Canis lupus familiaris: one gene and its partner. The protein of the gene in region 1 interacts with the protein of each later gene in a pairwise test. Links are inferred from orthologs where the notes say so. Each region holds a gene or a part of one and is shown on either strand. Other genes may lie near its edges. The genes, in order: SPRY1 and GEMIN4.

What was found.
Region 2: the proteins of SPRY1 (region 1) and GEMIN4 interact in binary tests that used the Homo sapiens proteins (3 or more experiments, as listed by UniProt). The link is inferred for Canis lupus familiaris from reciprocal best matches to the Homo sapiens genes SPRY1 and GEMIN4.

The regions. Positions count from the first base shown.
Region 1 is NC_049240.1:17,792,802-17,797,171, forward strand, and holds the start of SPRY1 (protein sprouty homolog 1), read right to left. Parts: upstream 2,859-4,370; 5' UTR 2,692-2,858; intron 238-2,691; exon of another isoform or gene 1-237. UniProt on the Homo sapiens protein: Inhibits fibroblast growth factor (FGF)-induced retinal lens fiber differentiation, probably by inhibiting FGF-mediated phosphorylation of ERK1/2. Inhibits TGFB-induced epithelial-to-mesenchymal transition in lens epithelial cells.
Region 2 is NC_049230.1:45,008,001-45,012,585, forward strand, and holds the start of GEMIN4 (gem-associated protein 4), read left to right. Parts: upstream 1-1,520; 5' UTR 1,521-1,620; coding exon 1,621-1,630; intron 1,631-1,890; exon of another isoform or gene 1,891-2,000; intron 2,001-2,170; exon of another isoform or gene 2,171-2,283; intron 2,284-4,106; coding exon 4,107-4,585. Other genes in the region: diazepam-binding inhibitor-like 5, read right to left, coding at 418-738, 1,350-1,520. UniProt on the Homo sapiens protein: The SMN complex catalyzes the assembly of small nuclear ribonucleoproteins (snRNPs), the building blocks of the spliceosome, and thereby plays an important role in the splicing of cellular pre-mRNAs.

The DNA of each region.
Region 1 (4,370 bases):
CCGGCCGGGTCTAGCGCCGCAATCCGGGGCTGCGAGCACAGCCCGAGCCTCGGCACACGCAGACCTCATCCCTCCTTGCAAAGCGCTCGCAGCCGGGCGCTCGCGGGGCGGAGCATCCCGAGGCACGCGGGCAGATCCCACACGCCCAGGAGCACGGAGCCTACGGGGAGCGGGGCGAGGGCGCCGGGCGCATCCTGGACGCTGCGCTTCACGCGATCGTGGTACCCGAGTCCGTGGAGGCCCCCGGCCAGGGAGACCGCGCGGCGCGTCGGGTGTGAGGCGGGGCGGCCCGTGCCCCGCGGCGCCGGCGCCCGGTGCGTCCCCGGCAACCTGCGCCGCCCGCGGGGACGGGCCTCGGCGGCCGCTACCTTCGCGGCTGCGCCCTCCCGGGAGCCCCGGGCGCTTCCAGCCCGCCCCGGCGCGCGCGCCGCCCAAGGCCTCCTCCGGAGCGTGGCGGGCCCCCGGGGCTGCGCGGGCGCCGAGCTCGCCCGTGGAGGAGCGGGCAGGCTCCCCTGTGCTGCGGCGCCGCCAGCTGCCGCGGCGGAGCTGCGCCCTCTGCACCCGAGCGCAGGGGAGCGGCGAATAAATAGTTGACGGAGAGGAAGGAAAAGGAAAAAGTTATGAATGAAAACAAGTTCTCGCTCGCTCCCTCTCTCCGGGCAGGGCAGGAGGAGGGGAGGAGGCTGAGGTTACCATTACCTCAGGAGGGCGGACTTCCCGTTTTTAAAGCGGCAGCGCCCTCCCCTCCCCTCCCCTCCCCTCCCCTCGCCCCGCCAAACGCGGAGGAAGGCGCGGCGGGCTCGGGCGCAGCCTGGTTCTGTGCAGGGGTCAGCGCGGACGGCGGGGGGGCTCCGGGGCTCCCCGCCTGCCCCCGCCCCCCCCGCCGCGTCCGCGCCCACAGCCCGCCCGGGAGCCCGCCGCCGGCGCGAGGCAGCTCCTCGGAGGCAACACCCCCCGAGGCGCCCCGAGTCCCGCTTGGGCGCGGAGGCGTCCCTTCAAGGGGACGGGCCGCGAGCCCCGGGGCCCGCACCTGCCGCGCGGCGCCCGCGCCCGCCCCCGCCCCCGCCCCCCGCCGGCGCCCGGAGGCCGCGGGACACTCACCTCGGCCGGAGCGGCGCGACCCGCATCAGGCGCGGCGGGGAGGACGCGAGGCCGGGCCAACCCCCCTCCCGGCTGCGGGGGACACTCCTGCGGACCCCCCTCCCGCCGCGCGGCGCGGGCGCATCCACCTCGGGCTTCTCCCGCAGCCCCTTCCCGCGAGCCGGGGGGGGAGAGAAAGAACAGGAAGGGGAAAAAAGGTCCCCTGCGAGAGGGCTCTCGAGTCTCAGAAAACGGCAGAGACCAGCGCGCGGGCCGGGCCCCCGGGGCACGCGGTGCTCTGCGACAGTCCTCCCTCGGGTCCGAGCGCTCCCCGCGGCCGAGGAAGGAGGCGGCCCCCCGACGACTGAAAAGCCCACGTCACGGGCGTTCGAGACTCCGCGGCGCCGGGGACGGGGCTCGAACCGGCGTCTCCGGGCGCCTCGCGGAACCAAGCAGGCCCCGGCGCGGCCCGGGAGCGCACGCCCGCGAGGCTGGGGCTGCGGCTCCCCCGGGGGCGGGGTGCGGGGGATATTCTGGGTTTTTTTGTTTTGTTTTGTCTTGCTTTTTAGCCCCGCTGTTTTAGGGGTGGCGGTGAAGGGTGCGAGGTTGGGGGGGATTCCTCCCAAGGGAAGAGGCGGGGCGTCGTCTTTCGTGCACCCCCCCCCCCCCCCCGCGCAGGTCGAGGCACTTTCCCGATCCCGCGCGCTGGGCAAGTGGGGGGCACAGCGGCCCCCGGGACTCTGGTCCTGGCGGGTCCGCCTCTCCCGGGCAGCGCGCGCTCCCAGTCCTCCGACCCTCCGGTTCCACGGCCGGAACGCCTGCTCCCGAGGATCGGCGATTGGAAAACAAAACACAACAGCACATTAATTTCCCTTTCTTTGCAGGCAGCGGGACGCGCCGCGCGGGCGGCGGGGAGCGGGGAGCGGGGAGCGGGGAGCGGGGTGGGCTGCCCGCCAGCTCGCCCGCCCGCCCGCCCGCCGCCCGCCGCCCGCCGCCCGCCGCCCGCAGCCCCGCTGCCATGTGCTGGCTGTTGCTGCTCGCAGTGATTGACAGGCCGGCGCACAGTCGGCGTGTCAGCAGCGAACCAAAGTAACATGCAGTCTTGCACGTTTTGCCGAAGTGCTTTTGCCCCTTGGAATGCCAGGAGTTCAAACAACGTTCAAGCAACGCCTCTGCGCATTGGAAATCAATACACAGGGGACGGGAAATTCAGGTTTTAAACAATCGCTCCGCTCGGGATTCGGTCGCCAACAATGCCTAAACCAACATGTACTGGTCCACACACCGAGTGCCAGCCCCTCTTCGGCAAAAACCACCCTGTTTTTCACACAACCGACCGTTTCAGACTTCAGACTTGTTCGGATAAGGAAAAAAAAAAGAAAAAGAAAAGAAAAGAAAAGGATCCTACTTTTTCCTCTTAGCGGTAGCGTTTACTTTTTTAAAGAGCATTCGTTTTAGCACTGGGAATGCTACTGGTAATTTGAAATGCAACCAGTAATCTTAGATCTAAAGCGAGTTCAAAGAAATGTTCAGTTCCTTGCAAAAGCCAGCATTTCTCACCTAAGCTTTCCTAAAATACCTACGGAATGAAAGGAAGGAAACAGTTCTTACCTAACGCAAAGATTGGAAATTGCTTTTCAGGCACATTTACAGCGACTGTAGCTGTTCCTTATCCAGGGTAAGGAGCTCTGTCTGTTGCTATCACTCTGCAAACCACTGCGTGCCTTACAGAGCAATCCCACTCCAGCTCCGCAGAATTTCAGCTCGCCTCCACCTCCACCTCCACTCCAGGACACGCCTCCAGTGATATCATATGTCAATCATTCGGGCTGCCTGAAAACCTGGAACAGGATTTCTCCAACTGTCGTTTCCTCTCTCGTGCATCTGTACCAACTTGGAAATGTTGCCCTGTACACTCGTGGGTGATAAACATCCTCTAAAAATTGGAGATGGCCTCTAAAGACCCTACAAGTGCAGTTTGTCACAGAAGAACCCTTTAAATTTCGTCATCAGTCTCAGTCAAAGGATTGGCGGACACTGTCTTTAAGGTTGAATTAGAAAATAGTTTTGAGGAATAAAAGAAGATAAAAAAAAAGTCGTATGCCAAGCCAACACTTCTGATCAGCTAGAGAGAAAATGTATATTGATATTAAGAAGATGATAATGTAACGTTACAGTTACTATTTAAAGCCAAATTCAGAATGTGTGAAATGTGAAAGTTCAAAAGGCGACACTCCTTACTGCAAATGTATATAACGTTACCTCATAAAGGTGAAATTTCCTGCTGTAGATTTTATAGTAAGTGCTCTACCTTGTCTTGTGATATAATTTCCTAAAAATCGAATTTAAAAATCCCAACTTCCTTCAATTTTGTAATTGATTTCCATAATTTTGGAAAAAAAAAAAAAAACCTGCAACCAACTCATTTATTTTTAAAAATCAGCCAACTGGAAATCAATTAAAATAGAAATAATTTACCAAGAAGTTTTATAATTCTTAATGATATGTGTTGTGTTACTGGGGGGAAAAAGTATTTTAATCAGTAGGAAACTCACCTTTTGTTTTCTTACAAATTATGGGATTTTAGACATTTATTATAAAAATTGTGTACTTTATGCTGCAGTGAGGAGAACTATATGTGAAAGTTAAGGCTCCACAGAGCCTTTTAAAAAATACCTAAAAAGCAAAAATATATATAGTAAGTAGAGAAGTATTTTTTCCAGGTACTAGATATAAGTAGCTTAGTCTTTGACAAAATAAGGCAAACAAAACAAAACTCCAGAATCTAAACCATGTATAAATTTAGGTATGGGAATTTTCAATGCTTAAGCTCCTTCTTTACTATAACAAATGATTCTGTTGAAACTAGTGTTTTCTAGACTTTCAATGTTTGAGCACTTTAAAACATTAAAGTTGTATTTGGATTAACCTCTTTTGGAAGCTAGGGCATTGCTAAGACCATCAACAAGAAGAAAGCATCCCTAGAAAATAACATAAAACAAGAATGAAGCAAAAAAAAAAAAAAAAAAAAAAAAAAAAAGAATGAGGCCAAAAGGCTACATATTCACTCTTACTATAAACCCAAAAAATAGGGTAAAAGGATAAAATCAATTTTGTAGATATTTTCTTTTTTCTTAGATCTCATATTTTGGGATGCAATGAAGTTTAACCAATGATGCATAGGTTTCTTGGCCATTATGAATGGACTTGGAATAGTCAAATCAGAGATAGAATATCATATCAGAGCATTCTGTTTGGTTCTTCAAAGTTGTCTTCTCAGCTATCACCAC
Region 2 (4,585 bases), on another chromosome or scaffold:
CTCAGCCTCTTCTTTCCCCTTTCCCCAAAGGCCAAGCCTCTGGGGAACGATCTGTTGACCTCAAAACTTGGGCGTTTTCATAGCATGATCTTCCCCCCAGCCCTTCTACTCCTGCCAAGTATCTGCATATACTCTTGGAATAGGAAAGCTGGGAACTCTTAGGATCATAAAACCGGTTGTGATGGAATTTCCCTGGAGAACTGCTTTTTTATATATTTTGAACACCTCCCCAGAACTCTGTCACTTGGAGTTTAATCAGCTTTCCATTAACACTCTCTTGCAGTTTAAGTGATTTATTGATGTGTCTCGGCTATGGTGGTTATGGTTTCAGGACGTTTCAGCCGTTGGTCTTTTAAGAAACCCTTTTCGCTACCAGAGGAGCCATGCTACTTCATTGTGTTTGATATTCTGTCCTCCTTAACCAGTATCTTTTTTCTTCAGTTCTTCCACCTTGGCAACATAGATCCTCATGGCATCCATCTTGGACATCCCTTTATTCTGGTTCCATGCCTCCCACTTGGCCTTGGCTTTCACATCTGTAGCAGGTGGGGCAGGGATGTTGCAGTCGCCTTGGGTGGCCTGTTTGTAGAAGCTGTACACCAGTAGCTTCTCCTGATCACTCACAGGTCCCTTCAACTGCTTGATAGCAGCACAGGCCATCTCAAACTCCACTTGGCACATTGGGGGTGCTGAGGCCCAGCCCTTGTGTCCTTTCTGGGTGATGGCTGGCACTGGAAGCTGGAGGATGGAGAATTAGAAACACTGGAGGCTAGTGATTAGGTCTGGGAGGAAGGGAATGGGAGCAAAGAAGACAGGGTAATGTGTGAGAAGAACATAGGATGTTTGTGTATGTGTTTTCTCAGGAGTCAAATGTGTTTTTATAAAGTACAGATTGGAAACTAAGGCCCACTGGAATGGATCTCCGCCACTATTGCTCTGGATAGCAAAGTGCATTTTCTGGGGAGGGCAACCAGTAACATTTCAAAGGTGCCTTTAATGCCAGAAAATTAAGGATGCTGTCCTCCCGTGAGAAGGAAGTGTGCTGGGGGGGCGCTGCGCTGTGCCGGGAGGAGGCCTTTCAGAACCGCCAGTCTGTGCTAGTTAGTGGGCGGCCTGGGGCGGGCGTTCAGTGCGGTGAACCTTAAGCGCGGGATCCCGAGGGTTACTGGATGGAAGCGAACGCGGAGCCGAGGCGGAGCTAGTGGGGTGATCCCGTGGGGATGATCCCCCAGGGCTGCGCTGGGCGGGGCAGAAGCAGGGCAGCGGCGCGGGCCAAGGGGAAGGTGGGGACCGCGGCTTGGGGGCGGGGCGGGGCGCGCCCGGCCGAAGGGAAGCGCGGGTCCACTTGCCGGCTGGCTTGGCGGAGGCCTCGGCTGGTAGGGGGCGCTGTGGGCCGGGCTGCTTGGGCGCCGCGGACCTGTTGGTGGGCTCTGCGCGTGCGCGCGGCGCGGCGGGAGGCCTGCGGACGGCGGCGCGGAGCCTGAGCCGAGATGGTGGGCGGGGGCTGAGGCGCGGCCCATTGTCCCGCCCTCCCGGAGCCGCCCATTGTGTCGTGGCGCCTGCGTCTCACTCGGAGCCTCGGGGGGAGGGGCGGCCCGCGCGACCCGCAGCGTCGCCGCCATGGACCTAGGTGGGTGTCGCCGCTCTCGGTCCTCCGCCCTCGTGGTCTGCGTCCCGCACCAGGCGGCCAGGGCGGTGCAGAGCGGGCCCGGGCTAAGGGAGACCTCCGGGTCGGGGAGGGCTCGGGAGGGCGGGGGTGTCCTCCGCGGCCGGGATCGGGAGGCCCGGCGCTGCCGCGGCGCCGCCGCCCCTCCACCCGCGGCTTGCCCCCCGCGGGGCGCCTTTCCACGTGAAGGGCCAAGCGGATGTGAGGTTAGATTTCCTCAGAGTGGACAGTGCTCGTGCACGTGCTTTGGAAAATGCAGGCTCAGAAGGATACACCGACGGTTTCGCTTAGTTAACCGCTGCTGAGCTCTTGGGCAAGCGTCCTCTGCCATGAGGTCCTCATCGATAAAACGGGGGTGACGATAGCATACCCACCACACACAGTTGGGGGCGTTTGATTGAGAGCACGTGTATACAGGGTCGGGTAGGGTGCCATGCGCGCAGCTAGTTCAGCCGACCGGCAGTTGTGGGGAGGGCCGAGGAGCCGAGGGGGCACGTTTGATTCAGAATCCTCACAGGCAGAGCCTGGGAGAAGGGAGCGGGGAGCTAGTATATGGTGACTCCTGTCCAGCCTCCCACCCTGCCGGTCATGCAGGAGGCTGTTCTCAGAGAGCTGAGGTGAGGCACCCCAAGGTGTGCCAGTAACAGGCTGTGGAGAAATGTTGTAGTCCTGCCCCCAGCCACGGCTTCAGTGGTGCAACAGTAGAGCTCAAGAGCTTGGAGCCCTGGAGCTGTGGTGATTTCCGTCCCAGGCCCCAACTACACTATAGTTGGGACATCCTGAGCAAATTTTTCTGAATCTCAGTGGTCCCATCTCTGAAACAGAATGGTTCTCAAAAGGTTGAGGATTAAAAGAGCTCTTGCACAGTGCCTGGCACGGAGTAAGCGCTTAATAAAGTTTTGGAGTGGGCACCTACAAGCCTGTTATCCAGTTGTGATAAAAACACTTGGGATTTGCCCAGCTATTCACCAATAGCTCCTGGGACTTACTCCTTCTGGTAGCACAATGAACATACTGTCTCTGGAATAATAGGTTTTGGGGGACAAACATCTCAGCTGAGCTGATTGTGCAACAAAATTAAATTTACAGAGTCATAAGAGAACATATTTTGGGGGCCTAGGAGAGCAGCCTGAACTAAAAAAAAGAAAGAAAAAAAAAAAAAAAGCCAGAATCCCCAGTGAGACCTGTCAGCAATCTAATCTTCCTGGGAGTCTGCCTAGGCCACTAGGAGCCAAGGTGGATTGCCTTCACCAGTTGGTTGCATAGGAGTGCTGATCCTTTGGCCTTTTGCTGCTCTCTTAAAGTTGAAGGGCAGGATCATTTTTAGTCTCCTAAATCAAGATTCTCTCTTGCTGGCTCCTGGGAAAGATATGTACTTGGGGGCATGAGGGAACGAGGAATTGGGGGCTAACACTGAACAACTAGCTCAGTACTCAGGGTGTGACTAGTATATCGCACTTGATCCTCCCAGTCTAGTATGAAGTCTGTGTTCTCCCCACAGATGCAGAAGGGAAGCTCAGAGAAGCTCTAGCTTCTAGATGGCTGAACTAGGATTTAAAGCTGTGTCTAATTAAACCTCCCCAGATGCCTTCCTTGATAAGTGTTGATTCAGGGCTTACTGGAGAAGAGACTTTTCTTTCCTAATCTACTAAGTATATTTTATGTCTACCTCTTGGTTTCTATGAGAGAACCAGAGCATTTGGTAGCTTGTTCTATTTGACAGAAAGAGCTGTGGGGTAAACTGTTTCCCTGAAAGGCAGAACATTTGAAATTTGTAAGAAGACTGTAAGACAAAAGGGGGAAGGCAGGGCTTGTTTGATTGCTTCTGCGGCCTCAGCCCTGGCCCCTCCCTTCTTAGGCTGAATCATGATTCAGAAGCTTGACTGCCATGTTGCACAGTACGCACCCTCTGTCACCCCTCCTCTCCACCTCCTCTGCTGGCCCATCCGTTACTGGAGCGCCTAGCCCTTTCCTTTACACATGGTTTTCCTGCAGAATCTCATTCACTTTGTTCGTTCCATTGATCCCCTCTAGGCAGACCCCTCCCTGAGTCACATCTCAGGGTTGACTCTCCTCTTGAGCATCAACCCCACATTTCCATTGCTGGAGGACATCTCTCTCTTAATGTTCTACCTCAAACTCCAAATAACCAAAACTGAACAGTGTTCCCCCCAAAGCTGTTCTGATTCTCTTCCTCCAGTGATAGCCATTGTCTTCTAAATCCAGGCTAGACTTTGAGAGTCCTTTATATTCCTTAGGTAAGTCCTTTTGATTCCAGCTCTACAGTGGCTAGAGCCATCTCTTCTTCCCCATTAGAACCCTTATCATCTCTAACCCTGGTGATGACAGCCAGCCTACCAACTGATGTCTCTGTCTAGCCTCTACTAACTATTTTAAAGATTTTTCACCACACTGTCTTGTGCGGCTTCTTTCTGTGCAGGACCTTTGAATATCTGTGAAGAAATGACTATTCTGCATGGGGGCTTTTTGCTTGCCGAGCAGCTCTTCCACCCCAAAGCACTGACAGAACTGACAAAGTCTGACTGGGAACATGTTGGGCAGCCCATTGTGGAGGCCCTAAGGGAGATCTCCTCCGCCACAACATGCTCCCAGCCCTTTGCCTGGAAGAAGAAAGCTCTGATCATCATCTGGGCCAAGGTTCTTCAGCCCTACCCTGTCACCCCTTCAGACACTGACACTCGGTGGCAGGAAGATGTGTTCTTCTCGGTAGGCAACATGATCCCTACCATCAATCACACGGTCCTTTTTGAGCTGCTCAAGTCTCTGGAAGCTTCTGGACTCTTTATCCAGCTTCTGATGGCCCTGCCCACCACCATCTGCCATGCAGAACTAGAGCGCTTTTTGGAGCACATGTCTGTTGACACTTCTTCAGAGGATGTGGCCTTTTTCCTCAGTGTC